4 separate regions of the Mus musculus genome follow, and regions 2, 3 and 4 are each reported to be linked to region 1. Evidence: microRNA targets listed by miRTarBase, many of them from high-throughput screens and not tested one by one. Region 1 holds a microRNA gene; each other region holds the end of a gene's coding sequence. Distances are from middle to middle.

Region 1 (7,449 bases):
TATATATGCCTGTGTGTATATGTATGTGTGCATGTACATGTGTGTATATGAATATACATATACATACACACATACCCATACAAACATGCATACAAACACACAAAAATTGGCACTCATCCATCTATTTGAATAATTAGTGACTTAGAGTCTTAGAGATTCTGTATGACTGGGGCTGACAGAGAGAGGTCTCAGTCACCAGGAGAAGACTTGCTAGATTCAGGGTGATCAGGAGTGCACATTCATGTTAACGGCATGATGAGTTAGAGATCAGCCTGGCATTCATGTGATGCCTCCATGTATGTGCATGTGTGTATAGTTGTGTGTGGATGTGTGTATTTGCATATAAATAACATACACACACACACACAAGTAAACACAAGTGCACAAACAGACACAGGAATGCCATTCATCGATCCATTGGAATGATAAGTGATTTAGAGTTTTAGAGATTTTGAAGTAGAGACGGTGAATTGTCTCACTCACCAGTTGTAAACGATTGAAAGAGTCAAGAGGATCTGGAGTTCCAATTCACTCCTATGTTCAGCTAGATAGCATCCTGGTATTCATGTGATATCGCCCATGTGTGTGCATGTGAGTATAGTTGTGTGTGCATGTCTGTATTTGAATATACATAACATACACACACTAATGCAAGTACACACACACACACACACACACACACACACTCACACCAATGCCACTCATCAATCCATTGGAATGATGTGTCACTTAGAGTATTAGAGATTATGCAGTACTTGGCCAGTGAGTGCTCTCAGTCTCTAGGTGAAAATGCTTGCTAGAGTTAAGAGTATTCAGGAGTTAAAACACATACTGACCTTCATGAGGATTTAGAGATCAGCCTGTGATTCATGTGATGGCCCCATGATTGTGCATGTGTATATAGTTGTGTGTGCATGTTCATGCATGTATTTGCATATACATAACATACACGTATAAACGCAAGCACACACACATAGAGACACAAGAATGGCTTTCATCGATCCCTTTGAATGATATGTCACTTAGCATATTAGAGATTATGCAGTACTTGGCCAGTGAGTGCTCTTATTCTCTAGGTGAAAATGCTTGCTAGAGTTAAGAGTATCAGGAGTTTAAATTCATGCTTATCCTCATGAGAGATCAGCCTGAGATTCCTCCATGTATGTGCATGTGTGTATAGTTGTGTGTGCATGTTCATGTCTATATTTGAATATACATAACATACACACACACGTATAAACGCAAGCACACACACAGACACAGGAATGGCATTCATTGACCCATTTAAATGATATGCCACTCAGAGTAGTAGAGATTATTCAGTATGGGGCAAGTGAGTGCTCTCATTCTCTAGGTGAAAATGCTTACTATAGTTAGGAGTATCAGAAGTTCAAATTTATGCTTATCTTCAGCATGATTTAGAGATAAGCCTGTGATTCATGTGATGCCTTAAGTGTACATGCAGGTTTGTATAGTTGTGTGTGTATGTTCATGTGTCTATATGGATATACATAACATATACATAGACATATAAACCCTAGCGTGCACACACACACACACACACACACACACACACACACACACACACACACGAATAACATTCATAGATCCATTTATATGATATGCCACCTAGAATATTAGAAATTATTCAGTACTGGGCCAGTGAGTGCTGTCATTTTCTAGGTAAAAATGCTTGCTAGAATCAGGAGTATCAGGAGTTCAAATTCATGCTTATCTTCAGGAGGATATAGATATCTGCCTGTGATTCATGTGATTGCCACCCATGTATGTGCATGGGTGTATAGTTTTGTGTACATGTGCATGTGTGTATATGAATAGACATAACATGCACATACATATAAACACAAGCACACACACACACAGAGACACAGGAATGACACTCATCGATCCATCTGAATGATAGGTGACTTAGAGTTTTAGAGATTATGCAGTAGTGGGACAGTGAATGGTCTCAATCACCAGGTGTAAACCACAGAGTCAGGAGGATCAGGAGTTCAAATCCATGCTTAATTTCAGTTGGAGATCATCCTGGTATTTCTGTGATGCTACCCATGTATGTGCATGTGTGCTTACTTGTATGTGCATGTGCATGTGTTGATATGAATATACATAACATAAACACACGTGTATATGCAGGCACACACACACAGAAGAAATTGCATTCGTCGTTACGTTTGAATGATATATGACTTAGAGCTTTAAGAGTATGTATTACTGGGCCAATGAAACGTCTTACTTACCAGTAAAAATGTTTGTTATATTCAGATGGATCAGGGGTCCAAATTCATGAGTAATTTCAAAATGACATAGAGATCAGCCTGACTTCACGGGGTTCCCCCCAATGTATGTTTATGTGTGTATAGTTTATGTGCATGTGCATGTGTGCATATGCATATACATATACATCCATACAAACATATAGAAGTAGCACAGATACACAGACACACACACACACACCCATCAATCATTTTGAATGACAGGTGACTTAGAGTTTTAGAAATTATGCTGTGCTGGGCCAGTGAGTGCTCTTAGTCAAAAGGTAAAAATGCTTGCCAGAGTCAGGAGGATGAGCAGTCAAAATTCATTCTCAACTTCATGATGAGTCTGGGATCAACTTCGGATTCATGTGATGCCCCCAATCTATTTGCTTGTGTGTATATGTATGTGTGCATGAACATGTGTATATGAATATACATATACATACACACATACCCATACAAACATGCATACAAACACACAGAAAATGGATACTCATTGTTCTATTGAATGATATGTGTCTTAGAGTCTTAGAGATTCTGTATGACTGGGCCAGGGAGAGGTCACACTCACCATGTGACGCCCCTTGCCAGAGTCAGGGTGATCAGGAGTGCAAATTCATGTTAACTGCGTGATGAGGTAGAGATCAGCCTGTCATTCATGTGATGGCCCCTGTGTATGTGCATGTGTGTTTGTGTGTGCGTACATGTACATGTGTGTATATGAATATACATATACATACACGCACACATAGATACGCACGCACACACACACACAGGGATGGCACTCATCAATCCATTTGAATGATAAGTGACTTAGAGTGAAAATGCTTACTAGAGTTAAGAGTATCAGGAGTTCAAATTCATACTTATCCTCATGAGAATTTAGAGATCAGCCTGTGATTTATGTGATTCCTCCATGTATGTGCATGTGTGTATAGTTGTGTGTGCATGTTCATGTCTATATTTGAATATACATAACATACACACACACGTATAAACGCAAGCACACATACACAGATACAGGAATGGCATTCGCCAATCCCTTTGAATGATAAGTCATGTAGAGTTTTAGAGATTATGCAATAGGGGACATTGAATGGTCTCACCCACCAGGTGTAAAAGATTGACAAAGTCAGGAGGATAAAGATTTCAAATTCATGCTTAATTCAGTTAGAGATCATCCTGGTATTCATGTGATGCCACCCATGTATGTGCATGTGTGTTTACTTGTATGTGCATGTGCATGTGTTGACATGAATATACATAACATAAACACATGTGTATATGCAAGCACACACACACACACACAGAGAAAAAATTGCATTCATTTATATGTTTGAAAGATATGTGACTTAGAGCTTTAGCAATTATGTAGTACTTGGCCAATGAAACTTCTTACTTACCAGTAAAATGTTTTTCATATTCAGATGGATCAGGAGTTCAAATTCATGAGTAACTTCAAAATGGTGTACAGATCAGCCTGGCTTCATGGGATCCTCCCCAATGTATGTGCATGTGTGTATAGTTTTGTGTGCATGTGCATGTGTGTATATGAATAGACATATACATCCACACAAACATATACAAGCAAGCACAGATACACACACAGGAATGGCACTCATCGATCCATTTGAATGATAGGTGACTTAGAGTTTTAGAGACTGCAGTAGTGGGACAGTGAATGGTCTCAGTCACCAGCTGTAAATGATTGACAAAGTCTGGAGAATCAGGATTTCAAATTCATGATTAACTTCAGTTAGAGATTATCCTGGTATTCCTGTGATGCCACCCATGTATGTGCATGTGTGTTTACATGTGTGTGCGTGTACATCTGTGTAAATGAATATATATATATATATATATATATACATATATATATATATATATATATATATATATATATATATATAACATAAACATACATGTATATGGACACACGTATGCACACATACACACAAGGAATGGAATTCATTGATATGTTTGAATGATATGTGATTTTGAGCTTTAAAGGTTATGTAGTACTGGTCAAATGAAAGTTTTTCTCACTATGTAAAAGCTTGCCATATTCAGAGGGGTCAGGAATTCATATTCATAAATAAATTCAAAAGAGAGTAGAGATCAGCCTGATTTTATGGGGTTCCCCACAATATATTTGCATGTGTGTATAGTTTTGTGTGCATGTGCATGTGTGTATATGAATATACATATACATCCACACAAACATATACAAGCATGCACAGATATACACACACACAGAAATGGCACCCATAGATCATTTTGAGTGACATGTGACATGTGACATGTGAGTTTTAGAGAGTATGCCGTGCTGGGCCAATGAATGCTCTCACTCACAAGGTAAAGACCCTTGCCAGATTCAGGATGATCAAGAGTGTAAATTCATGTTGGTTGCATGATGAGTTGGAGATCAGCCTGGCATTCATGTGATGGCTCCTGTGTATGTGCATGTGTGTTTGTGTGTGCGTACATGTACATGTGTGTATATGAATATGCATATACATGAGAGCATACATAGACACACGTGCATGTGCGCTTGCATGCGCGTGCGTGCACACACACACACACACACACAGAGGATATGTGATTTACAGTCTTATAGATTATGTAGTAGTGGGTAATGAATGGTCGCACTCATCATGTGTAAACAATTTGCAGATTCAAGAAGATCAGGAGTTCAAATTCATGCTTAACTTCAGCTGGACATCATCCTGGTATTCATGTGATGCCACCCGTGTATGTGCATGTGTGTTTACAGGTGTGTGCATGTGAATGTATATATATGAGTATACATGTACAGACACATGCAGCACACACACACACACGAATGCCACTCATTGATCCATTTGAATGATATGTCACTTAGCATATTAGAGATTATGCAGTACTTGGCCAGTGAGTGCTCTCATTCTCTAGGTGAAAATCCTTGCTAGAGTTAAGAGTATCCCGAGTTCAAATTCATACTTATCCTCATGAGAGATCAGCCTGTGATTCCTCCATGCATGTGCATGTGTGTATAGTTGTGTGTGCATGTTTATGTGTGTATTTGAATATACATAACATACACACACACGTATAAACACAAGCACACACACACAGACACAAGAATGACACTCATCAATCCATTTGAATGATAACTGACTTAAGAGTTTTAGAGATTATGCAATAGGGGACAGTGAATGGTTTCACTCACCAGGTGTAAATGATTGACAGAGTCAGGTTAATCAGGATTTCAAATTCATGCTTAACTTCAGTTATAGATCATTCATGTGATGCCACCCATTTATGTCGATGTGTGTTTTCGTGTGTGTGCATGTGGATGTATGTATATGATTTTGCATATACAGACACATGCACACACATGCGGCACACACACACACACACAAATGACACTCATCGATCCATTTGAATGATATGTCACTTAGAGTTTTAGAGATTATGCAGTTCTGGGACAGTGCGTGATCTCACTCTCCAGGTCAAAATGTATGCTGGAATCAGGAGTTTTAGGAGTTCAAATTCATGCTTAACTTCATGATGATTTTAAGATCAGCCTGTGATTCATGTGATTCTCAGCCATGTATGTCCATGTGTGTATATTTGTGTGTGCATGTGCTTGTGTGTATGTGAATATATATATCATACGCACGCACACACACACACAAATGCAAGCACATACACTCTCACACACAGAGGAATTGAATTCATCCATTAATTTGAATGCTATGTGACTTATTCTTTTAGAGATTATGCAGTAGTGGGACAGTGAACGGTCTCACTCGCCATGTGCAAACATATTACAGATTGAGCAGGGTCGGGAGTTCAAATTCATGCTTAACTTCAGCTGGACATCATCCTGGTATTCATGTGATGCCACCCGTGTATGTGCATGTGTGTTTACGTCCCTGTGTATGCACATGTGTGTATATAAATATACATACCATAAACATACATGTAAATGCAAGCACACAAACATGGAATGGCATTCATTGATACATTTGAATGATGTGTGACATAGAGCTTTAAAGATTATGTAGTATTGGGCTAATGAAACTTTTTACTCACAATGTGAAAAAGCTTCCCATATTCAGAAGGATTAGGAGTTCAAATTTATGAATAACTTCAAAATGGCTTAGAGATCAGCCTGGCTTTATGGGTTCCTTCCCAGTGTATGTTCATGTTGCATAGTTTTGTGTGCTAATGTATGTGTGCATATGAATATACATATAAATACACACAAACACATACACACAGGCACACACACACACACACACACACACACACACACATACACACACACACACACACACACACACACATACCCCGAATGGCACTCATTGATACTTTTAAATGACATGTGACTTAAAGTTTTAGAGATTATGCAGGGCTGGATCAGTGGGTGCTCTCACTCACAAGGTGAAAATGCTTGCCAGAGTCAGGAGGATCAGGAGTGGAAATTCATTCTCAAATTCATGAGTCCAGGATCAGCTTCGGATTCTAGTGATGCCCCCAGTGTATGTGCCTGTGTGTATATGTATGTGTGCATGTGCATGTGTGTATATGAATATACATATACATACACACATACCCATACAAACATGCACACAAACACACAGAAAATTGACACTCATCGATCCATTTCAATGATATGTGAGTCTTAGAGATTCTGTATGACTGGGCCACAGAGAGGTCTCACTCACCAGGTGACGCCCCTTGCCAGAGCCAGGATGATCAGGAGTGCAAATTCATGTTCACTGCATGATGAGGTAGAGATCAACCTGGCATTCATGTGATGACCCCTATGTATGTGCATGTGTGTTTGTGTGTACATGTACATGTATATATATATTGATATACATATAAATACATGCACACATATTCATGCATGCACACGCACACATTAATGGCACTCTTAGATCCATTTGAATAACATGTGACTTAGAGGTGAGAGATTATGCAGTACGGGGACAGTGAGTGTTCTCACTCATCAGGTGTAGACAACTGCCAGAGTCAGGTCTATCAGGAGCTTAAATGCATGCTTACACTCATGAGGACTTAGAGATCAGCCTGTGATTTATGTGATTCCCCCCATGCATGTGAACGTGTGTATAGTTGTGTGTGCATGTGTGTATATGAATATATATAACATCCACACATG
Region 2 (6,964 bases), not on the chromosome of region 1:
TGGAGGCCCCGCCCACTCCCCGGGAGACCCGCCCTCCGCGTCCACTGCGAACGCGCTACTTCCGGTCCCCTGACCTCTCCCTCCCACCCCACAGAGGCTGAGGACACGCGAGTGCCCGGTGCGCTCCTGTATGCAGTGACAGCCTGCGCAGTCCTACTGTGCGCGCTGGCGCTCGGAGTGACGTGCAGGAGGTGGGGCGACGGCGGGGGCTGAGGCAGGGGGATGGCCGGGATGGAGAGAGTGAGGCAGGGGGATGGCCACTGTGAACTCTGCCCTGCCCTGCCCTGCCCTCTCCCTCAGGTTCGAGGTGACGCGCCGACTCTTCCCGCCCATCCCAGGGATCAGGGACAAGGTGTCCGACGACGTGCGAGTGAACCCTGAGGTCAAAAGTCACAAGCGCTCGTGGTGGGGGTGGGGCGCGAGGCTTGTCCCCTGTAACCCAAGGCGTGACCTCTGACCCCCGTCCACCCCCCCCCCCCAGACCCTCAGGAAGGACCTCCTGCAGCCCTAGACGTCCCGCCCCCAACGTGACTGACAGGAAGGACTTAAACTTCATGACATCAACTGATGTCATGAAGCGATGCTGATAGACGTCATCGTGACCGCTCCCCACCCCCACGTCTGGTGTGACTGGACCCCTGTTGCCCTGTTCATCAATCACCAAAGTGGGCGTGTCCAGTCTCATCCTGTCAATCACCCTGGAAGGGCATGTTTAACGACATTGATGTCACCGTGATATCACAGTCCAACCAAATCCTCCTCTATAGCCCCGCCCACCCCGACAGGAAGCACAGGTGACTGGGAAGCCTGCCACTGTCAATCAAGGCCGCCCATCCCAAAAAAATCAGTACTCGTGGCCATCCTCCTGCCTCAGTTCCAGGGATGGCAGGGACAGCGTGCATATCCCCACCGTAATAGTTTGCTCAGTTCTTAACAAACCCTAACCCTTAATATTTTACCTTAACAGCCAGCACACACACACACACACACACACACACACACACACACACAGACACAAACTGTCATAAAATCCAACGTGCCTTCATGATCAAAGTTCGATAGTCAGTAGTACTAGAAGAATCATATGTCTGTAAAATAAAAGCCAGAACATTTTCTGCTTTTGTTTTCTTTTGCCCCAGATAGGGTTTCTCTTGGTGTAGCCCCGGCATCCCTGCCTGGAACTTTCAGTGTAGGCCTGGGTAGCCTCAAACTCACAGAGGTCCTCTCTGCCTGCCTGCCTGCCTCTGCCACCCACACAGCCCGGCCGAAGCTAGGATCTTTTTTTCTTATTATTACTTATTTATTATTACTATTAGTTTTCAATGTAAATGTGTGTGTGTGTGTGCGTGCTCTATCTGCTGCCTTATATGACTGCATGCCAGAAGAGGGCACCAGAACCTAGGAGAAGCTACCATGCAGGTCCTGAGAATTAAAAAAAATAAAAGAAAAGAAAAAAGGAAATTCTAATTACATAGAAGGTAGATATCTGCCCAGCTGTCAGAGTGCTGTTTAAGGCTTACTGTAAATAATAAAAATTGTGTGTCTCTTATCCAAAAACAGAAGGGAGGTAGTGCACCTGCATGTCTGTTGTCTGCATGTCTACTTCCTTGTTCTGTCACTCGGTTGCACATTGACCTCACAAAGATGAAAGGCGACAGACATGTGGATGGCAGCCATCTTGTCCTCTGACTAATCTCCCTCATCAAGATGGAGGTGGCTGGCTGTCCTGAGACGTATTGTTCCAGGTCACTTCTGTTTCTCCCCCTTCTTTTCCAGCTACTAGTGGAACAGAACTTAACTGAATCAAAAAAAAAAAAAAAAAACCAAAAAACTGAGCACATAGACAGTACCATTTACCATAAATAAAACAAAAGCAAAATCCATCAAAGTCCATAGTTCTGAGAAGGTCCCTAAATATACTGAAAGACTCCGAGAGGAGCCCCTCGCTCAGTCCTTGGGACAATATCGGACACCCAAGAACTCACGAGAGACCAAGCTTGATGCAAACCACATGAGGCTTTATTTGGGGAAAGCCAGAGCTCTGGGGACGACTCATATCCCACGCAGGGGTAGAGGAGTCAACCTCAAGGGGAAAGAGGTCCCAGTTTTTATAGGCCCTCAGGGGGGAAAGGAGTAGGGGGTTGTAGGGGATTTCCAGATCTAAACAATGTCTATTCTCAAGAAATGGGTATGGGAGGGGTACAAGGAAAGAGTCTGGTGCAGGTGTAGCAACTCCGGATTGACCTGGCTGTGGTTGCTGGGGAGATTCTCTGACTCTTTCCCAGCAGCCAATATCACAAACACCTGGCAATGGGCTTCATCAGTGGGCACACACATGGGTTCAAGGAACGGTCAAAAACATTGGCAGACACACGGGTTCAAGGAGTGGCCAGAGCATTGTGCACCTCTATTTTTCTAAGTCAGTGAAGCTAGTTCTGCTAGCAATGAAATCTATCTTGCCAATTTCAGGGTTTCTGTGACCTTTTATATTCTGTCAGGATCTTTCAGTACTAACCAGGATTTTTGGCTATTGTACTTCTGCTTCTGGCTAACTGTTCTTACCATTTGAAGTATGTCAACCTAGAATATGGCTTTGGTATTTAAAACTCACCCTGAGGGCTAGAGAGATGGCTCAGCGGTTAAGAGCACTGACTGCTCTTCCAGACTTCCTGAGTTCAATTCCCAGCAACCACATGGTGGCTCACAACCATCTGTAATAAGATCTGATGCCCTCTTCTGGTGTGTCTGAAGACAGCTACAGTGTATTCACATAAATAAAATTAATAAATAAATCTTTTTAAAAAAACTCACCCTGAGAAAGGTTTGGTGCAACCCTGGGATCCCTAACACCAAGCACTACTGCCTGCTGGCTAATAGAGATATTCTATTGGTTTAAACCCATGTCCTAGGAGTCCTCTCTCATGGACATCCCCATAACACTGCTGCCTGTAATGCTGTGGATTTCTCCTGTTTTAGTTATTTAACTGGCAGAGAAAATGAATACAATCTAGACCCTAGACCCAAACCATAGTCTTTTGTACAAGGCTAAGTGCAAATGTTCATTTGAGGGGTGTATGTTCTCATGGGAAGCCATACTTTAAAATCCCTGATATCATGAAGGTGTCACTCTTTGTTGTTGTTGTTGTTGTTGTTTTGAGGTAGGGTTTCTCTGTATAGCCCTGGCTGTCCTGGAACTCACTTTGTAGACCAGTCTGGCTTTGAACTCAGAAATCTGCCTGCCTCTGCCTCCCAAGTGCTGGGATTAAAGGTGTGTGCCACCACTTCCCAGAGAAGGTGTCACTCTTAAACATTAGGAATACAGTTACCTTTCCTATTTTATCCAGACATAGATTGCCACTACACTGACTCAGTTCTGAACCTGGTGAGAACTGAATCCCAGGCACCAGGGTGAGAACTGTGTAATACAATAACAACAGAGCATAGAGTGTGTGCTTTCATGGACTTTCTGGGGCCCAGGTCCTTGTTCTAAAGACTCCATTGGATTGTGAGTTTGTAGCATTTCCCCTACAGCCAGCTCATCTGAAAAGACTCTTGTCAGCAGAACAGTGGCAGCTGCCCAGATCTCTAGACATGTTCACTAGGTGCCCCAGAATTTTCCTGGACCAATATTGCTGCTGCTGAGAACAAGCAAAACAAAACAAAACAAAACAAAACAAAAACATTATTCTAAGTGCTACTATATCATTGTCAGACTCCATTTAATAATAAAGTCAAGATCCCAGGCCAGAGTGGAGCTGGGTACTTCCCAATAGTTAGACAGCTTCTATTGTAAACAAACAGTTGCTTGAATTCACATATCTCAGGTACAACTTCTCCTTCTTGCTGGCATGGTCAAAAAAGTATATGTTCCCATGCCCAGAGACTAACTCCTAACTGATGGAAACTCCTTGCTCAATCTCTTATGTCAAAATATGATTGGATAGTGTCCAGCCTCCTTCCCCCTTGCTCTATGGTTTTATCCTTTAAATATGTTGCAGAACATCCCTTCAGGGTCATACTTCAGTTTCCAAGTCTGTTCTGCTGCCTTGATCTATCAGTAGCAGCTTGATTACAATCATTTTTTGTTAGCTGCCTAGACCTCATATTTGAGTTATGTTGGATTTAAGCAAATCCCACAGTGCTACAAGGCCTCATCTCACCAGCCTCTCACCTGTTTGCCTCTTGTTTTACATTCTATTTCTCTATCATGGGATTTCTCTGTAGCACAGGCACTATCCATCCTGTTGGTCTCACCCTACCTCTTTCCCTCAAGACATTTATGTTCTTGAGTCCCATTCTCTAGGATACGGGATTAAATCAGGATTCCCACTTACTGGGTACTATGCTCCCTTACTCTGAGTCTTTTCTGTGTGTTTGTTGCTGGGGATTGGAACCTAGAGAATGCATACTAAGGAAATGCTCTGTTATGAGCCCAGTCCCCATATAATATGAGTGTCAAGGCTGAGCACAGCACCCTAGATGTCCAAGTTCTTCCTAGAAGCAAAGGATTGAATGTCCAGTGGCATAAGCAATGTAGAAAAGGATATGGCAAGCAAGTTTTCTAAAGGTGGTCCACCTTTTTGAATGACCTATTATGGGGGAGTTCTGAAAGGCATAGATCCCAGACACTTCATCCAAGAATTGCTTCTTCCTATTGATATGCCTTTCATGTTACTCTTACATATCCTAATGATTCCTGAGCATCAACCTATCCTATCAGACAAATTTTCTGCAGATCAACATTAAGAGGAACTTTCATTAAAACAACACAATTTAGATGAATCAATGACTTTACAGAATTCCTGCCTTGGTTCAAATATTTTTAGGAAGAATGTTTAATGAGATGGTTTTAATTGTTTTTTTTTCCAGAAAGATATAATAAAGTTAGAATCAAGAATAGAATGTGTCCCCTCCTCATAGAATAGTAAGTAAAGGCTGCATAATAAGAAATAGAATGAGCTTTTATAAGTTGTACTAAGAAGAGAAATAGGATTGGAACAAATTAATGATCATGGAAAAAACAATCATTTCAGGTCAGGTGTGCACTAGTATAAAATAAGGCCATATGGGGCCTGGAGAGGTTTCTCAGCAGTTAAGAGCACCTACTGCTCTTCTAGAGGTCCTGCGTTCAATTCCCAACAGATACATGGTGGCTCACAACCATCTGTAATGGGATCTTCTGGTGTGTCTGAAGGCACTTAGAGTGTACTTACATCAAATCTTTAAAAAATAAGGCCATATGAAACTGTTCCTTTGAACATACGAGCTTAGAGAATGAAATATTGTCTTGAACTTACTAACATCCTTCTGTTACTCCCTTTTGTGTAACATTCTATCTGTGACATGATTTTATTTTTTGTCTAAGAAGCTATAAAAAGGCTGAGTCTAAAAATGAAGGGTGACTGTTGGGACTCTGCTCTATCCAATAAATGTGTATATATGTATATATGTCTGTCTGTATAAAATGTATGTATGTATATCTATCTATATATCTATTTGTTTACATACGTAGGTCTATGTGCTCTACTTCCCTGTCCCATTCTTTCTTGATCCTTTCATTCAGTCTGCTCTTTGACTGGAGAATTGAAGACGCTGATATTTAAAATTATTTATACGTGTGTGTAAGTAGTGGTAATCCTGTTGCTGATTTTTGGTGTTTTCTTCTTAGTATATTTTATTCTTGAATAATTAAGACTTTTTATAATATGACTCTCTCTGCAATGCTGAATTATCTCTTCAGGGAAACATACTGTTTCCTATATGTCTCTTAAGTTTTAGTTTATTGAATATAATTTGTTTAGGCTGTTTATGTTGTAGAAAATCTCCATTCTCCTCAAATCATCATAGTTTTGCTGGGTATATTATTTTAGGTTTGCTGTTATAGTCTTTAAGACTTTTATGCATTGCTACAACCTCTGGGGGATTTCAGAGTTTTCACTGAAAAATCAGTTGTTAGTCTTCTCTTACAGCTTTCAAGATACATTCTTTGTTATATATACTTAGTGTTTTATTAATGCTCAAAGGATTTTCCTTCCTTGTCTTATCTATTTGTTGTTCTGTGTTGGGGGGAGGGGGTTGATGTGCATAGAGGTGCCTTTCTAGTGTGGGGAGTTTTCATCTATAAGCATGCTGAAGATATCCATGCCATTGAATTGGTGTCTCTTTCATCTATGCTAATAAGTTTGTGTATTCGATGGTGTTCCATATGTCTTATGACTTCCTTTCGTGTGTGTGTGTGTGTGTGTGTGTGTATGTGATATGTTTGCATGTACTTTTGTGTTTCTGCCTTAATTTCTCTTAAAGCTGGACTGCAACATTTTTTTGTTTTGTTTTGTTTTGTTTCATTTTTTGAGACAGGGTTTCAATGTGTAGCTTTGGCTGTCCTGGAAAATCACTCTGTAGACCAGGCTGGCCTGGAACTCAGAAATCCGCCTCCCTCTGCACCACCACTGCCTAGCTTTGGACTGCAACTTTAAGGTGAAATAAGCTTTTAGTTCCCAAGTTGGTTTTAGTCATGGTTTTTTATTCGAACAGAAAAAACTTAGTAAGAAAAACATGAAGCTGAGAGATTGTTCTGTGACTTGAATTTGTACTTGTTTAATACACAAATGCACAAGTATTATATAAAATATTAAAATCTCTAAGTGTCACACTGGAGAGATGGCTCAGGGGTTAAGAGCACTGACTGCTTTTCAAAAGGTCCTGAGTTCAAGTCCCAGCAACCACATGGTGGCTCACAACCATCCATAACAAGATCTGGCACCCTCTTCTGGAGTGTCTGAAGACAGCAACAGTGTATTTACATATAATAAAGAAATTTTTAAAAAATCTCTAAGTGTCATCAGGTCAGCTATAAAAACTGAAAACGTATTCTAATTACAGATTATTTATCAAAGATGGTTGACAGGTACTTTAAGAAACAATTAGAATCTCATAACTTTATATGCCTGTAAGATGCATAGAT
Region 3 (7,449 bases), 83 Mb from region 1:
CATGTCCCTCAGCAGAAGAAAAAATGGCAGGCAAACAGCCCCCTCCGCTCATGAAGAAGCACAGCCAGACGGATCTTGTGAGCCGCTTGAAGACCAGAAAGATCCTGGGTGTGGGCGGGGAGGATGATGACGGCGAAGTGCACCGGTCCAAGGTGAGCCATGCTAGGAAGAGGAGTCATGAGCCTGCAACTTCCAGGGCCCTCTGCTCGTGTCAGGGGAATGCTATGCCCAGTGGCAGAAGTTTGGGGACAAGAACCCAGTGCTTCTTAGGGTACTGGCATAGACTGTCCTATAGACATGAGTGCATCCTGCTAGCTCTGCTGGTTATCCATGTGGTTATTGACCCATTGTACAGGTGAGGAAGCTAAGACTCACATAGAGGGGCTAAGTAACTTCCTTAAGGTTATATCAGTGACCCACAGAACCAGGCTTCCAGCCCCTGCTGGGCAGACCCTGAGTTTCTTTCCTTACCACCTCTTTTCAGTTCTCTTGTCTGGGTACCAAGGGAGGCAGGAGAGGTTGAGCTTGCATTGGGGAAAACATTTATGTTAATCAGGGATGTTCTGATGGCCCCCAGGTGTCCACAGGAGCTGGGAGGAAGGTGGGTGGGTGAGATGCTGAAACTGAAGACTTCTTCCCTGATGCCTCTGACTTGTGTGTCCACAGATCAGCCAGGTTTTGGGCAACGAGATAAAGTTTGCTGTGCGGGAGCCTCTGGGGCTCAGGTGAGCAGTAGGTCTCGTTTGGATGGTTTTGTGTCCCGGGTATGTGTAAGGTCCTACGTGACTGGGCCTTGCTCTGAATTACATCCACACTGTTCATTGCCTCCTCAAATAGCCCTGGCTGTTTGGGTTGCACAGGGTTCCCCCCCACCCCCCGTTTGGGTTGGCAGTGGGGGTCAGGGTGAGTGTGGCTGTAACTGTCTTCTCGGAACCTCCCCAGGGTCTGGCAGTTTCTTTCTGCTATGCTGTTCTCCAGTGTGGCCATCATGGTGAGTACTGTGTGTCCCCGCCCAGGCTGCAAGTAGGTCCTGAGACTTAGATGGGGGTGGGGGTGTGTGTGTGGCTCTTTCCCTTACCCCAGCTGCTGCTGTCTTCACTCTGAGGCCCATACTTCAGGGTCTAGGCCAACTCCCGGGACATCCTGTCCATTACTGGTGTGCCGTGCCCCCAAAGTAACCAGCACACATGCTCTGGGCTCTGGGCTCTGGGCATCCCAGCATTGGATGCTGCCCCAAGGAGGTCCCTAGCATTTGTCTCACCTCATAGCTGACCCTGTGCTCCTCCTGCTGCCCACAGGCCCTTGCCCTCCCTGATCAGCTCTACGATGCAGTTTTTGATGGGGCTGAAGTCACAAGCAAGACCCCCATCCGCCTCTACGGTGGTGCCCTCCTTAGTGAGTATTGCTGGGTCTCCAGCAGCCTGGTAGCCCTCTTCATCTGTGTCTGTGCTGCCACCTTGTGGCCATTGCTAGAATGCATGTAGTTGGTTCACTGCCCTGGCAATGGCAGAGGTAGCTTGGGCCTGGAGGCCCTTGCCCCATTGTGTAGATAAAGATACCAAGTCCTGGGGAGATGAGCACCTGGCTTGGGTTGGATAGGGCTTTAGAAGCAATGTGAGCTGTCTCTGGGGGGAAAGCTATAGCTGAAGAGCTGAGGACCGGAAGAGGGGCCGTCTGGTCTGAGAAGTGGGTGTTGTGGAATAAGTGGGTTCGGACTCCTGGGCTAGGGATCAGGCTGCCCCGGTGCTTGATTCCAACAGGCATCTCCTTGATCATGTGGAACGCACTCTACACAGCCGAGAAGGTCATCATCCGCTGGACTCTGCTCACTGAGGCCTGCTACTTCGGGGTGCAGTCCCTGGGTGAGTGGTGTAGGGTGGTGGGAAGGCTATCAGGGTGCAGGAAGAGAAGGGCAGAGCACTGGGTGCTCCTACAACATAGACCAGTGTCCTGAATCCACAGCCCAGCCGTTCCCTCCAAGCCTGACACTCAGGATGCACTTCTAGGCACCTGCCACTTGGGGGCAGCAGACTGGCCTAGGCTGGTGTTAGGCTTCTGGAGGTCGTCAGCCTGCAGTCCCACTCACCACAGGGATGGTCGAGGGTATTCAGCCTAGCCTAGCGTCATGATGGGAGAGGCTCAAGCACGTGTCTGCTCCTGACCTTTGCCTCCCCCGACTTCCTTCACAGTGGTCACTGCCACGCTTGCTGAGACGGGCCTCATGTCCCTGGGGACCGTGCTGCTCCTGGCCAGCCGCCTCCTCTTTGTTATTGTCAGCATCTACTACTATTACCAAGTCGGCCGGAAACCCAAAAAAGTGTAGCAGGCTGGGACCTGCCTGGGCCTGGACCTGGGCCCGAGCAGCTGGGGACTTCACTGTCCATGGGTCCTAGACAGGCCTGCAGGCAGGCAGGGTGCACACGCCTTCCTTCCCTCCCAGGCACTCCACGGAGTCATCTTGGGTCTCCTGGGATTCTAGGAGTGACAGACCAGGCTGTGGCCTCTGCACCCCACCCCTCACCCTTGTGCAGGGACAACTCCTTGCCCTGTGTTTCTTGGCCTCTAGACTCTAACAGGCAGAGTCTAGAGTAAGTTTTAGGGTCTGGGCTGAGTCAAGGTGAGTTCCTCTGCCAGGAAGCCCTTTCTAGGAGGTTGTGTCGGCCCCAGCAGGGGCTCTCAGCTTCTCCCCATCCAGAAACCCGATGTGTGAGTCCCTCATCACACACGCACACACACACACACACACACACACACACACACACACACACACACACACACGGTGTTTCTAGAGATCCAGTTGAGGACATCTAGCAAGGGGAGTGACTGCCTCCCTTGGGCCAAGTTCCCCAGCCTCAGCCTGCACATCTCTCTCTTTGGCCTGCTGGAGGGTACTCTGATTCTCTGGCTGGCCGCCTGCGTCCCAGAGCACCAGAGTCCCTTCCCGACAGGCTAGGGTTAGGCAATGTACCACAGGCCTGATAGTCCCTGGCTCCTAGCTGCCCATAGGCTCCTAGTGCATGAGGAATTCTGAGGAGAGGACAAGTGGGGACATTTCCTCGGCATGGCCTCCAAGGCCTGCATGGCTACACACCTGGCTCAGTGCCTCCTCCAGATCCCCTCCTGAGGCTGCCCCAAGGCCTACGGGTTAAAGCCAATAGCTGCTCACATGCAACAACGGAAGGAGATTCAAGAGTCTGCCATCCCTTAGCAGCCCCTAAGTGGGCCTCTAGAGCTGAAGACACACCCCTGGTGCCACCAGCCTGTGTGGCCCCTCCCCTTGGCCCTAGCTCCCAGCACCTCCCTACCCTTCAGCAGCAAGCACACTAAGAGATTTGGCCCGAGGCTTCTCCCTTCTGCAAGGGGGTGGTCCCCTATACCCGAGGAATCTTTCTCTAGGGCACCTGGGCTCACAGCCTCCCTGGGCTCGGTTGTTCCTGCTGCCAAGTGCTCTGTGACCATGGCCTTTGCCTAGTGGAGGGAACTCAGTGGAGGATGTGCCCAGCAGTGGCCGGGGCTGCTTCTGTAACCAAGGTCTGGCAGAGTAGCGATTCCCTGCGTGTTCAGGAAGGGCCCATTGTGTATACCTGCCTCTTGTCACTGGCTTGGTGCCAGTCCCTCAGTCCCACCTCTTTACTCGGACCATGGACCCTGCCACTGCCAGCTCTTAGTACAGTCCCAACTACCGTAGACCAGGTGACATTTGTTGACACCATTCTCAGAGGTGTTGAAGATTTATCATCTTGAATCCTCCACAAATACAGATACAGTCCCAAGGGAGGTAGTCGTAGAAATGGAAGACGCCAGCCCTGCGCAGCCTGCAGGGACATCCGCCAGGCTTCCCCTCAGCAGCAGGAGCCCAGGTCACCCTGGTTAAACTGCAGTGATACATTTAGGTGGGTGGGGTCAAGGCATATGTGGCCTCCGGGAGACACCTGCTTGGAAGGAGGCAGTGATGGAGATAGAGCCCCACTCTGAGTCTGGGCTCAGAGTGCCCTGACTGCTCTCCCCCACCCCATCCCCAGCTCCTCTTGTCATGCTTCTGCCTGGCCCCCAAGACTGCCTCTGTCATGGTCACTATTTATTCTTGGTCCCTTTTTCTTTTTGTAAGAAACAGTCACAAGAAAACAACAACAACAACAAAAAACAACCAATGAGAAACAATCTGCGTGGTGTCCTGTTTTATATTACAAAATTTCTCTTAATATAGAATATAAAAAGGGGAGACTTGGGAGATACAATGATAAATTAGCTCTGTTTCCTACTGCAAGGGACATTTACAAATTCCAAAATAGACTTTAGCATATGACGTGTGTGTGTGTGTGTGTGTGTGTGTGTGTGTGTGTGTGTGTGTGTGTGTATCAGAGTTCCTGGGGATGAAGGTGCTGGGTTCAGAACCCAGGTAGGCCAGGGGCTTGGGACAGGATAATGGGGAGCATGAGCCACAGGTCCAGTCTTAGCTCCTCGCCTGTCAGATACAGCTGTCCCTTAGGCCACTGCTCTGGGACAGGAAGTGGCTGTTCTGCTCACTACTGGCTGAGGCATCTTGGGGTGAAGGAAGAGCTCCCCTCCATTCCTCTGGGAGTACACAGAGCAGCTCACCAAGCCCCACCAGGATGACCTCAGACAGCCTTGCAATGGCTACCAGCAAGCTCAGAGGGTGAAGACTGTGTCTGTCTGGCCCCATGAGGATGCTGAGAAGCTGGGTTGAATCAGGGCTACTTGGGAGCGCTTCAGCGTAAGTGTGGAAAGTTCTGGTGAGGGACTCTGATCTGCCCTGGAATTGCCTAGGCTCCATATCTGGCTTCTCAGTCCCTCCCTGTCCCAGCCCTGCCCATCTCTGGAAGCCTGGGCTAGTTCTGGGTGGCAGCCGCTGTGGTTGGGCTAAGTCCTCAACCTAGCCATGAACTTCCAATCAATAGCCAAGCCATTTGCCTTCCTAGACAGTTGGAGTCCAGTACGTGCTGGGTTCTGAGTCAGCCTGGGTCCTCTTAGTCTGGGGGTGCAAGCCAGCAGAGGGGCCCCCTGATCTGGTGACTCAGCCTCTAGGGAGCTTACTATGGGGATGCCAATTAAGCTGTCATAAAGACAACTTCCGTATAGCATTCAGAGACACCCACTCCCCGGAAGGCCAGGCTGGGTGAGGACCACATAAAGAGGAGAGAAAATGGGAGAAGTAGCCCCCCTTGCACCCAGACAGCAGAATAGAACAGGCTATGGCTATGACTCCCAGGTGGCAGAAGGGCAAAGGAAGGCTGGAGTTCAGGTCAGGCTCTTCCATCTGAGAGAGGAGAGCAGACACCTAGCTGTTCCTTCCACCACTGTTCCCCTTTTGTGCCCTTGGCAGACATAATTAATCAAATTTGAGATCCTGACAGACAACACTAATGGATTCAACACGGTCCTGGCAGGGTCAGGCATCTTGCAACTAGTTGCTAACCTAGCCTGCAGTTCAAGTTTGTGTGTGTGTGTGTGTGTGTGTGGGGGGGTGTTGGTTGGTTGGTTGGTTGTGAACCTATTAGTCTGGGGTGTTTGTTTGTGTGTGTGTGTGTGTGTGTGTGTGTGTGTGTCTGTTGGTTGGTTGGTTGGTTGTGAACCTATTAGTCTGGGGTGTTTGTGTGTGTGTGTGTGTGTGTGTGTGTGTGTGTGTGTGTGTCTGTTGGTTGGTTGGTTGGTTGTGAACCTATTAGTCTGGGTAATCTGAGCCTAGAGAGACTAACAAAATAAATGTTCAGCAAAAGGTCAGAAGGTGTCACGGTAGGAGATGCTGTGGGGTTAAGTCTGCAGACAAGAGGCATGACCTTAACCTCTAGAAAGGAGAGAGAGTGAAGGGGTACACAGACGGAAAAATGGAAACCCCTTCTGTCTGCGGAGGTGATGGTGACATCAGAGCATCTGAAGGCAGGAGGCTGAGTTGGGAGGTAGTGAGATCCATCCGTATGTGGAGGGATGCAGGGGTGAATTCTTGGCAGGGACCTTGAAGAACACATTCAAGCCTCAGCTCTGGGTAGAAAGAGAGAAATGAACAATACTGGGGTGTCTTCCACCTGGGAGAACAGGGGTGGGGCATGGCCCACGGGGACAGGTGATGTATCACAGTTGGATCTCTGACAGAGGTACAAGCAGGGCAGAGTGGACACAGTACGGACTGTAGAGCTGGATGCAGGCAGTTCCTGGCCAGTTTACATCGGGGTGGAGTCCTGGCTGGAGCGACAGCAGCCTGGAGATGACCTTGTCATGCACATGCTGTGTGACTGGACGGAAATGAAAGGGCCACCTTCTGATCCAGTGTCCACACACAGCCACCCTCAGCCAGCGGGAGCAGGGACCGCTTCGCTCTCCAGCAGATGGTGCTGCAGAGTCTGTCCTTGTGTTGTGAAAAGCCGGCTCCTTGGGGCCTGAGGACCGGGCTCCTCCTCCAGGATGTGTTTCTACCTCCTGGTTGCTCTGATCCTGGAAATGCTAAGAGAGGTGATCCGGGCCAAGGGACACTCCAGTCTGACAGGGCCAAGGGGCTCTGAGGCTGATGAACCTTTGGTCTCAGGAACAGCTGGTCCCAGGCCAGCCCTAGGTCCTTGTAGAGCCCATGCCCCTTGCTTTAGAGCCTAGGTGAGGCCCCTTCATGTCTGTCTTTTTTGTTTGTTTGTTTGTTTATTTAAAAATTAGCTCTATGCTTCTGGCCGTTTGGGCTGGCCTTGCTTCCGCCCCTGGGGCCAGAGGACAGGGAAGAGAAGGGGCTGGCTTCTGGGCAGTGGTGGGCTGAGTGTCTTCAGGCCAAGGCCTACTGGATGCCCCGGAAGAGGCACATGGCAAAGACCATGAGGAAGAGCTGCAGAGAAAGGGAGAAGATGATCTGGAGTCAGACTGGGTGCACGTCGAGGGGCTGCCCAGCACACCTCCTGAGGGGAATCGTGATTGTGACACTACCCGGGGCAAGCATCTGCTCGCCACTTGGGTAAAAAACAGGCGTTGGAAAGCAAGTCATCTGTTTAAACAGCTCAAATCTGTCTTTTTTGGGTTGGCAGAGACTTTAAGCAAAGCACAACCCTTCTTGGGCACCTGAGTGTGTACCGAGAGCTTACCATGTAAAGTAGGTTTCCAATGCTGTTAGCAGCAGCCTTTCTAACCAGCAGGAAGTGAGGCATGGAGATGTCGGAGATGTCTTACAACCTGATTTAGGTCACACAGCTTCAGTGGGGGTAACCTAGCTTGAGCAGAGACACACTTCCCCCCTCCCTCCCCCCACCCAGCCCTTGCTTCTAAGCCCCTGCGCTCTCGATAGCTCACCGGAAGCTGGTGAGGTTTCCAGAGATTGCAGTTCCCTAACCCTGACCTGTGGCTACATCGAGGCAAGGCTATGTGCAAATCCTTGAAATCTGCCCAGCCTCAGGAAGATCTGTGTGCCTCTTGTTGGTCTTAGCTCTCACAGGAGGCTTTGTCCACTTCCAGGAG
Region 4 (7,449 bases), not on the chromosome of region 1:
GGGCAGGAGGATCTCTTTGAGTTCAAGGCCAACCTGTTCTACAGAGTGAGTTCCAGGACAGCCAGAGCTACCCAGAGAAACCCTGTCTCAAAAAACCAAAAAAGCAAAACCCCCCACCCCAACCCCCCAAAAGCCACACACACACACACACACACACACACACACACACACACACACACACACACTAAAGTTTAAGACAGGCTTAAGGGCACAGTCTGGCTCAATGGAATGTGCTTTGGATAGATTGGATAAATTTTTTAAAAAAGTGAACGGCAAGAAAAAAAGCAGGTTAAAAACTGTACAGATTTTTACAGCCAATATTTTAAAAATTGTATTTACTTACTTTATGTATATGGTGTTTTGCCTACATGTATGTAGATGTACCATATGCAAGCCTGGTCCCCATGGAGGCCAGAAGAGGACATCAGACCATCTGTGTCTGGAGTTATAGAGTTATGAGCCCATGTGGATGCTGGGAATTGAACCTAAACCCGCTGGAAGGGCAGTCAGTGCTTATAACTACTTAGTCATCTCATGCTTACTCCTACAGTACAAACTTTAAATACTGTACTCATGTTGACTCATCCATCCTGCCATCTATACCATAGTAATGTTAACAAAGAGGGAGAGAGGCTCGAGAAACTATCACTCTTGACTTCTCTATAGTGGAACCTGATTGTTTCTTGCCCTTCACTTTTTTTTTTTTAAATCTATCCAAAGTACATCATTCCATTGAGCAGGACTGTGTTCTTGAGCCTGTCTTAAACTTTCCTGTGCGGAGGTGAAGAAGCTGTAGGGATTGGCTGAGAATTGGAAAGTACCCTTTATAAAGAACAGGAAGAGGCTGGAGACCTATAAGGCCGTGCTGGGGAACAGTCAATGTGTGGGAGGTCCTGTCTCCTGGCCAAGAAATTGGCCCCTGTCACTACGATGCTGGCCTGGGTTCTGCTCCTAGACACGCCTCTCCATCTCTATATGATAAGCAGGTCACTTAAAGGCTTTGTTTCCCTGGGATTTGTGATAGGCAGGTCACTTAAAGGCTTTGTTCCCCTGGGATTTGGTCTCCTTTTCGAAAATATCTAGAAGTTGAAAACTTAGAGTGGAGTAGGGTTCAACTCTCTCTCAGTATCTCCAGAGTTGACTTTGCTGACCTGGGAATATCCCCGCTTCAGGAGAAAAAAGAACAGGTTAATCTGACCACTCCATTATAGCGTATACATTCTTTTATACATTCTTTTTCACAAAAGCAGAGGAGGAGCAGGCAAAGGGAAAAAAGGCAGGAGGTGGTTGAAGCTTAGATGTCATAGAGGATACGGGTCTGCATCATATCTTCAGGTAAACCACAGCTCAGCATTTGACCAATCTGTCCTGCTTTGAGGGGATGGGGTTGGCCAAGCTCCATGGGGTGAGGAGGAGCCCCTGGTGCTCCAACCTTGGGGTCTGAGTTCCCCTCCCAGAAAGTGTTCTGATTTGGAGGCTACTGTGTTAACACTGAGGCTGAGATAGCCCCACTGAGAGGAGACTCCTACAGCCAGGAGGAGCTCAAGAGGCTCAACGGCTCTCACTTTCACGCAGGGACCTGATCCTGCTGCTGTGTGCGCCACATGCCGGAACATACCTGCTCCTAAACCACAACGTAAAATCGGGAGGAGACAAGCCAGTCTTTCCTGAACACCTTGATACAATATGTGAAGCAGCAGTGGCTGACGTGGGCACTGCGTCTTAGGCTCACATACCCCAAAGAAGAGCAAATTCCTACCAACCCATCAGGAACAGTGGCATCTTATTTTTCCCCTTTGCTTGCTTGCTGAACTTTGAAGTCAGAGGCATTGAATACTGTGCCCACTCCACCAGGGCCTGGAGGGTCAACCAGAGCTTTAGGTATGGGGTTAAAGCCAAAGAACAGCATTATAGGCCCCTCTGAAGTCACTGGGGACAAGGAGAGTGCTCCTCCAGGAGAAGTCTGCCATTCCCAGGGGAGCCGAGGAAGAGGAGAGCCCAAGATGGTGGATGAAGGTGAGGGGGAGTTTGGCCGGGCCCAGAAACTCCAACTCAAGATCCAGAGATCAAGTCAGGAGGAAAAGAATAGAAGCAAAATCCCCACAATGCCTAGAGTTAAACTAAGACTGACTGGAGTGTTCTTTTTAGATTTGTTATTTTATGTGGTATGTTTTGCTCACGTGCATATATGTGTACAATGTGCCTACCTGGTGCCCATGAAGGCACCAAAAGTAGACATCAGAGCTGCTGGGACTGGGTTATAGATAGTTGTGAGCCGTCATGTGGGCGTTAGAAATGAAACCCTGGTCTTGTACCAGGGCAAGTGCTCTTACTCGCCGAGCCGGCGGCTCCGTGCTCAGACAGGAGTTTTCTATTTGAAAATGTAAACAGGCCCTAGCATAAGCCATAGCTCACAGCCAGCTCTGGGTCTTGAGCCTTGTGACTGTGTGACATGTGGAAGTAAGTCACTGTGGGTCCTAGTCTCATCTACGAAATTATACGCATGGCATTGCTTAGGCCGATGGAGCTAAGGAGATCATTGTGAACCCAAGACATCAGGAGCACAAGGGATACTGGGACAGCTGATTATATGTAGGGCTGACTGTAAGAGATGCTGCTGGCCTTATCCCTCCCCCTTGATCACCAGAAGAGTGGCTTTCACAGAAGCCACATCTGGAATAGGGACCCATCAGGTCCATGCCTAGCAGTAAGCTTCTGCTGTGCTCGGTCTCTGCCTGAAGACTTTTTCTTTCCTACCTACTATACTACCTAGGAAGGCCTTGACTCTACAGTGATGCCCTTGGCCCAGGGTGCCCTTCTCCTTGGACCTCAGTGCCTCGTGTGGGTCTCTGAAGTGAGAGCCCATGGTTTCTTCCCTTCTTTCCCAGCATGCAAGGAAAGGGCCTTGGCTAGACACATAGTAGCTACAGAAATGCAGAAGATAGCGACCAGCTCCTGGGCTCAGGCAACTGTCAGGCACAAACGCCTTCCTTCATTGGACTTCCTGTGGGGTGGTCTCAGGCTGGTCTAGTTTAGCTCCAAAGTCCATTTCTGTGTGCTCTTGAGTAAGAACCCTATTTTTCCAACGGCACAGTCCACGGTAAATGCACAGAAAACAAGAGGCACGAGCAGGATAGGATCAGAATACTTTAATAAGATATCAGTGTCAAAATACATTTCCTTATAAAGTTAAGCTCCCGTACAGTTATAATGTCGTCAGTAGGAATTTGACAATGCAGTAATGGTCATGAAGTTGTTACATGGACAGGAAAGGTTAATACGAAACTCGGAATATTTCTCAGAGTGTCTTTAGTAGAACTGCAAACGGAAATGCCCTTAACGCTGAGGCAACAACACAGGAAATCAAACACCAGCATTTGCATGTCAATAACCCTTCAAGTTCCGTCGCCCGCCTGCGTGTGTGCCAGGCCACACTGTGCACCGATGCGCAGCTTGGACAACACCATGCCTAGGTAATGTCAGGTAGACTGACCTTCAGAGTTAATTTTTGGTTTGAGCAGCAAGTCCCCTTAGGCTTACTGTACTCTTGCCTGATGGGCTTTGTGTGTGTTGAGAGTTTTATTGTACCCGAGTCAACAACACCTTATGTTGATTGGTATCGCAAACCCAAAAGGTGCTTCCCCTCCCCCTCAGTGAGTTACAAAGTGCTCTTGGAACACGATTTTCAGTGCTTTCTACCTGTTCAGTGTCACACTTCATGTGACTGAGACCTCAGCTAGAGGCTGTCCTTGGAGGTCTGCCCGCTGCTCGCCAGCAGGGGGCGCTGCACCGTGGCTTCGCAGGGTCATTTGCCCGGCAAGCTGTGATCTGTGGCAGGGTGTAGGGCTGGTCAGACCTGCTACCCTCCACCTGGCACCCACTCCCAGTTTAGCTCCAAGGACTAGGTCACTACATTTGTGAATCCTAACTTGCTTTATGAATTCCCATTAAAAACATTTCATGGTAGCTGTGCCAACCCAAACGTGCCGCAGGAGAGAGATTGGCAGTCTCGTAGCTCAGTGTGCTAGAAGGGCTAGCAACATTGCCTGAAAAAAAGTGAGAGCGCTTCCTTCCAGCTCGCCTGCGACATGCCCTCAGAGCCTGCAAGCCCCGAGCCCTCATAGCGGCAACAGCACACACGTACATAATACACTGAGAACACGAAAAGATAGCTTGCAATGTTCCCCCTTAATGACTTCTCTCCTGGGACTGTCACACCGCTGCCATATCACAAAAGCAAAAAGTCACCAGAGAGAAAGAAAGAGAGATCTGTGGCGGTTAGTCAGGCCTGTGGGAGTACTGCACAGGTCTACAGTGTCCAGAACACTGAGAAAAATAAAATTAACAGCCCTAAAAGATCTTAAAAGTGATTCTTGTGAGCAAGATCCCATTTCTAAGCTTTTAGATATTACAGAGTACCCATATATATGATAAACACTAAACCCGGATATAAATTCTTCTTAAAAAACCAAACAAAACAAAACTCAGTTTTGCTTTTGAATAATAGTTAAAAAAATCCACTGGACCCGGGGAGAGATGGGGGCATTACCAGACAGCTTCGAACACCACCGCGTGGCTTCACAGGTAACCCTAGAGTTGATTCTTCACATTGCTTTTTTGCCCCATACTAAGTCGTATGAAAAAACCGGAGCAAAGAGTTGGCTTTAAAAACACAAAATTTTACAATATGGTGATTAGATGTGTGTGTGTGTGTGTGTGTGTGCACGCATACGTGCATGTGTGTATATGTGTGTAGGGGTGTGTGTGTGTGTGTGTGTGTGTGTGCACGCATACGTGCATGTGTGTATATGTGTGTAGGGGTGTGTGTGTGTGTGTGTGTGTGTGTGTATATGTGTGTGTGTGTGTGTGTGTGTAGGGGTGTGTGTGTGTGTGTGTGTGTGTGTGTGTGTGTGTGCACGCATACGTGCATGTGTGTATATGTGTGTAGGGGTGTGTGTGTGTGTGTGTGTATGTGGGGGTGGGGGAGAGGGAGAATCCACAGTGGAGGAAAATCCTTTTCTCTTTGGCAACAAGAACAAGAACACTTGAGTTGAATGACGCCAAAGCTTTCCTAGGGAGAGGCACCAGCCACCATGCTTGTTAGTATGGATATGAATGAGAGAGAGAAAAACCTTTGGGGAATATAAATTAGAAGTAATTCAAGGGAGGGAGGGAGGGGGAAATCTTATAAAATTTCAGAACACTTTCATCAACGGTAAAACATAGCAGGTACAACAACTATGTATTTTTAAAACATGGATAATAAAGTGAGCATGTCAGATAAAGGCCACTGCTTGGTGACCTGGCCAGTAGGCCAGGTTGAGTACATCTCGTAAGAAGTGTGCTGGTGTTAGAGATACCTAATAGCAACACAGATGGAAGTGAAGCTGGCAGGTCAAGACGGCGGGGCAGGCAGGGGCATGCCCGGCCAGAGGCCCTGGCTCAGGTGGCCTGGTCCAGAGCTCTGAGAAGGTCTCTCCCCTGCAGGAGTGTGGAGCTTCCAGGCACGGGCACGTTCACCTCACAGTCATATCTGGTCAGTTCCGGCAACAGGTAAGGCTCGAACGATGGCCCCAGCAGTCGACTGGCCACGCCTGAGAGGAGGGAGAGGAGGGTGTTTTAGAGGACTGGCACACACCTGCTCCGCTGGCTGTAGATGACCAGAGGAAAGGGCATGCATGCAAACAACTGTGTCTCCAGCTTCCAGCAACTTCCGATGCAGCAGCACTCTGGCCCTGGGGCTCCATCCCCTGTTCAGAGGACGGAGCCAGAAGAGGACATGCCACAGCAGTGGTGAGATCCAAAGATGGCTGGAGCGAGAGCAGAGCTCTCTCAGTTTAGAGACAGAGCTGGGTCCCAGTGTGCTCTCCCTTCTGGGGTCCACACTTCCCGTTGCCTGCACTCCTACCAACAGATGCCCTGCCCTTCTTAAATTCACCTCCTTTCGGTCTATGGGCAGAAACGATCTATGTTGAAATTAGTTTTGCTTCGCATTCAACAGCTGGGGAAACCTGTCATTTGCTGACTACAGCTGCCCAGATGTGTATACCGGGGGTGAGTGATGTGTGGTCCTCTCTTTAAACTTTAAACTTTCTCTTTTAAGACTTCTGGCTTGCAAGCCCACCTGCTGGTAAACAACAGAACTGAAATATCAGCCCAGGGCTTTTGGGTTCTTCAGATGGAATTCTAAGAACACAACTATAAATTTTCCCCAACTCTGCTACTGTAGACAAGGCTCTGGAATTTTCTTTCTCAAACCACAGATTGTTTGTGCCGAGCAAAGGCGTCTATGGGAACACTTGTGTGTTTCAGTGGCAATAGCTGAACTTACTGGATCACCAGGCTACCCTCCCATCAGTGAGTCCCCTGTGCAACCTTTCAGAGAAAGCTTGTTACGGTATGTGTATACACTTCAGGCAATGAGCAGCTGAGGAAAGATGTAGACTCTTGGTCTTGCGGGGCCAAGAGCCCGGATGTGATCTGACTGATTACTGGACGATCCCTTCCAGAGCCGTGCACAATCTTCCAGCCTGCCTTTCCAGGGCAGCGAGCTTGTCTTGCTCAGAAGTCCACCACAGCCCTGGGGCCCTTGCCATACCAGCCGCTTCCTTCTACCAAAGCTTCCCCAGCCTGAGACCCACCTTCTGGGGAGCCTGCTTGGCCAGAAGTAACCGTGGCTCTGCCCTTTCTCAGGGACAACAGCCAAAGAGGCCTTTCTTACTTTCTCACACAATCTCAGCTCATCAATGAGGAGCCTGCACCCTCCTGGGCCTTCCTTGTACTTTGAACAAGTCATTGTCAAATCCTTTCTGGGCCTGGTACCATGCAGGCTCTGGAATAAAGAGGAGACTTGGTCCTGCCTAAACCATCTCATGCAGCTTGGCTGATGAAGAGCCCTATGGACTGTAAGCAGTCGCATCAGACCTGAGCAGGGGCTCTGAAGGCAGTCTTGTCCAAACGCAGAGTTGCTTCCTGCAAGTGGCTGCCTCTCAGCTCTCTGGCCAGCCAGGCCACCTGTTTGCATCAGACCCTGGCTATGGTGGGAGTTCCAAAGCACTCACCTGACACCTTTTGAGCTCCTGGAGGACCGTAGTCCTGGAACTGGGAGGCATAGCACTGTGGCGGGAACCCAGTCTTGGCGTTCTCCCCTGAGCTCCTGGTAGATGGTGGCTGGGGAGGTGGCAGGTGTCTCAGTGGCTGGCCCAGGCCTCTCATAGATTTTTGGGTGAATTCATCTGGAGGATCCAAGCCAGAGAGTGAACTGTGGTGCTGTCATTAGGGCAGACAATAGCGCTCTCAGCCTGCTTTCTTTTTCAGAAGTCATGTAGAGACCTCTGAACCGGGATCCTGCTCATGGCATGGATATAACCCATTCTAACAAGGCTCAGGGAATGTGCTCTGAGCCTTCAACCCTCCACCAGACCCCTGGGCCAGGCCTGCTTACCGGGG

The links. The annotated mature microRNA mmu-miR-466n-5p reads GUGUGUGCGUACAUGUACAUGU and lies in region 1 at 4,753-4,774, shown strand. An mRNA with a match to its seed (bases 2 to 7 or 8) in the 3' UTR can be bound and repressed. Matches are read on the target gene's strand: a 7mer-m8 pairs with bases 2 to 8, a 7mer-A1 pairs with bases 2 to 7 and ends in A, and an 8mer does both.
Region 2: the mRNA of Csf2ra is a reported target of mmu-miR-466n-5p. Seed matches in the 3' UTR shown: 7mer-m8 at 971-977.
Region 3: the mRNA of Trp53i11 is a reported target of mmu-miR-466n-5p. Seed matches in the 3' UTR shown: 7mer-m8 at 2,727-2,733.
Region 4: miRTarBase lists Epas1 as a target of mmu-miR-466n-5p. Seed matches in the 3' UTR shown: 7mer-m8 at 4,910-4,916, 7mer-m8 at 4,780-4,786, 7mer-m8 at 4,718-4,724, 7mer-A1 at 3,562-3,568 and 7mer-m8 at 3,419-3,425.

The regions. Positions count from the first base shown.
Region 1 is chr2:10,509,007-10,516,455 of GRCm38, forward strand. Mir466n (microRNA 466n) reads left to right here and starts at 4,735; the gene lies at 4,735-4,828. All of the region lies in intron 10 of Sfmbt2 (Scm-like with four mbt domains 2), which reads left to right. It overlaps Mir466d (microRNA 466d), which reads left to right and starts at 2,961; the gene lies at 2,961-3,056. Mir669m-1 (microRNA 669m-1) reads left to right here and starts at 3,784; the gene lies at 3,784-3,881. It also overlaps Mir669m-2, Mir669o, Mir466g, Mir466h, Mir297c and Mir669c, and 4 more genes.
Region 2 is chr19:61,218,551-61,225,514 of GRCm38, reverse strand. Csf2ra (colony stimulating factor 2 receptor, alpha, low-affinity (granulocyte-macrophage)) reads left to right here. Exons shown (of 12, transcript NM_009970.2): 10 at 95-191; 11 at 301-382; 12 at 482-1,113. The coding sequence ends at 511. Among named protein-coding and RNA genes, the nearest start is that of Csf2ra, 6.4 kb to the left of the region's middle.
Region 3 is chr2:93,197,597-93,205,045 of GRCm38, forward strand. Trp53i11 (transformation related protein 53 inducible protein 11) reads left to right here. Exons shown (of 8, transcript NM_001025246.2): 3 at 16-152; 4 at 667-725; 5 at 943-991; 6 at 1,299-1,395; 7 at 1,761-1,862; 8 at 2,190-4,161. The coding sequence starts at 24. The coding sequence ends at 2,323. Tspan18 (tetraspanin 18) reads right to left here. Exons shown (of 10, transcript NM_183180.2): 10 at 4,164-6,826. The coding sequence ends at 6,779. Among named protein-coding and RNA genes, the nearest start is that of Trp53i11, 14 kb to the left of the region's middle.
Region 4 is chr17:86,829,096-86,836,544 of GRCm38, reverse strand. Epas1 (endothelial PAS domain protein 1) reads right to left here. Exons shown (of 16, transcript NM_010137.3): 14 at 7,445-7,449; 15 at 7,062-7,235; 16 at 3,135-5,594. The coding sequence ends at 5,443. Among named protein-coding and RNA genes, the nearest start is that of Epas1, 79 kb to the right of the region's middle.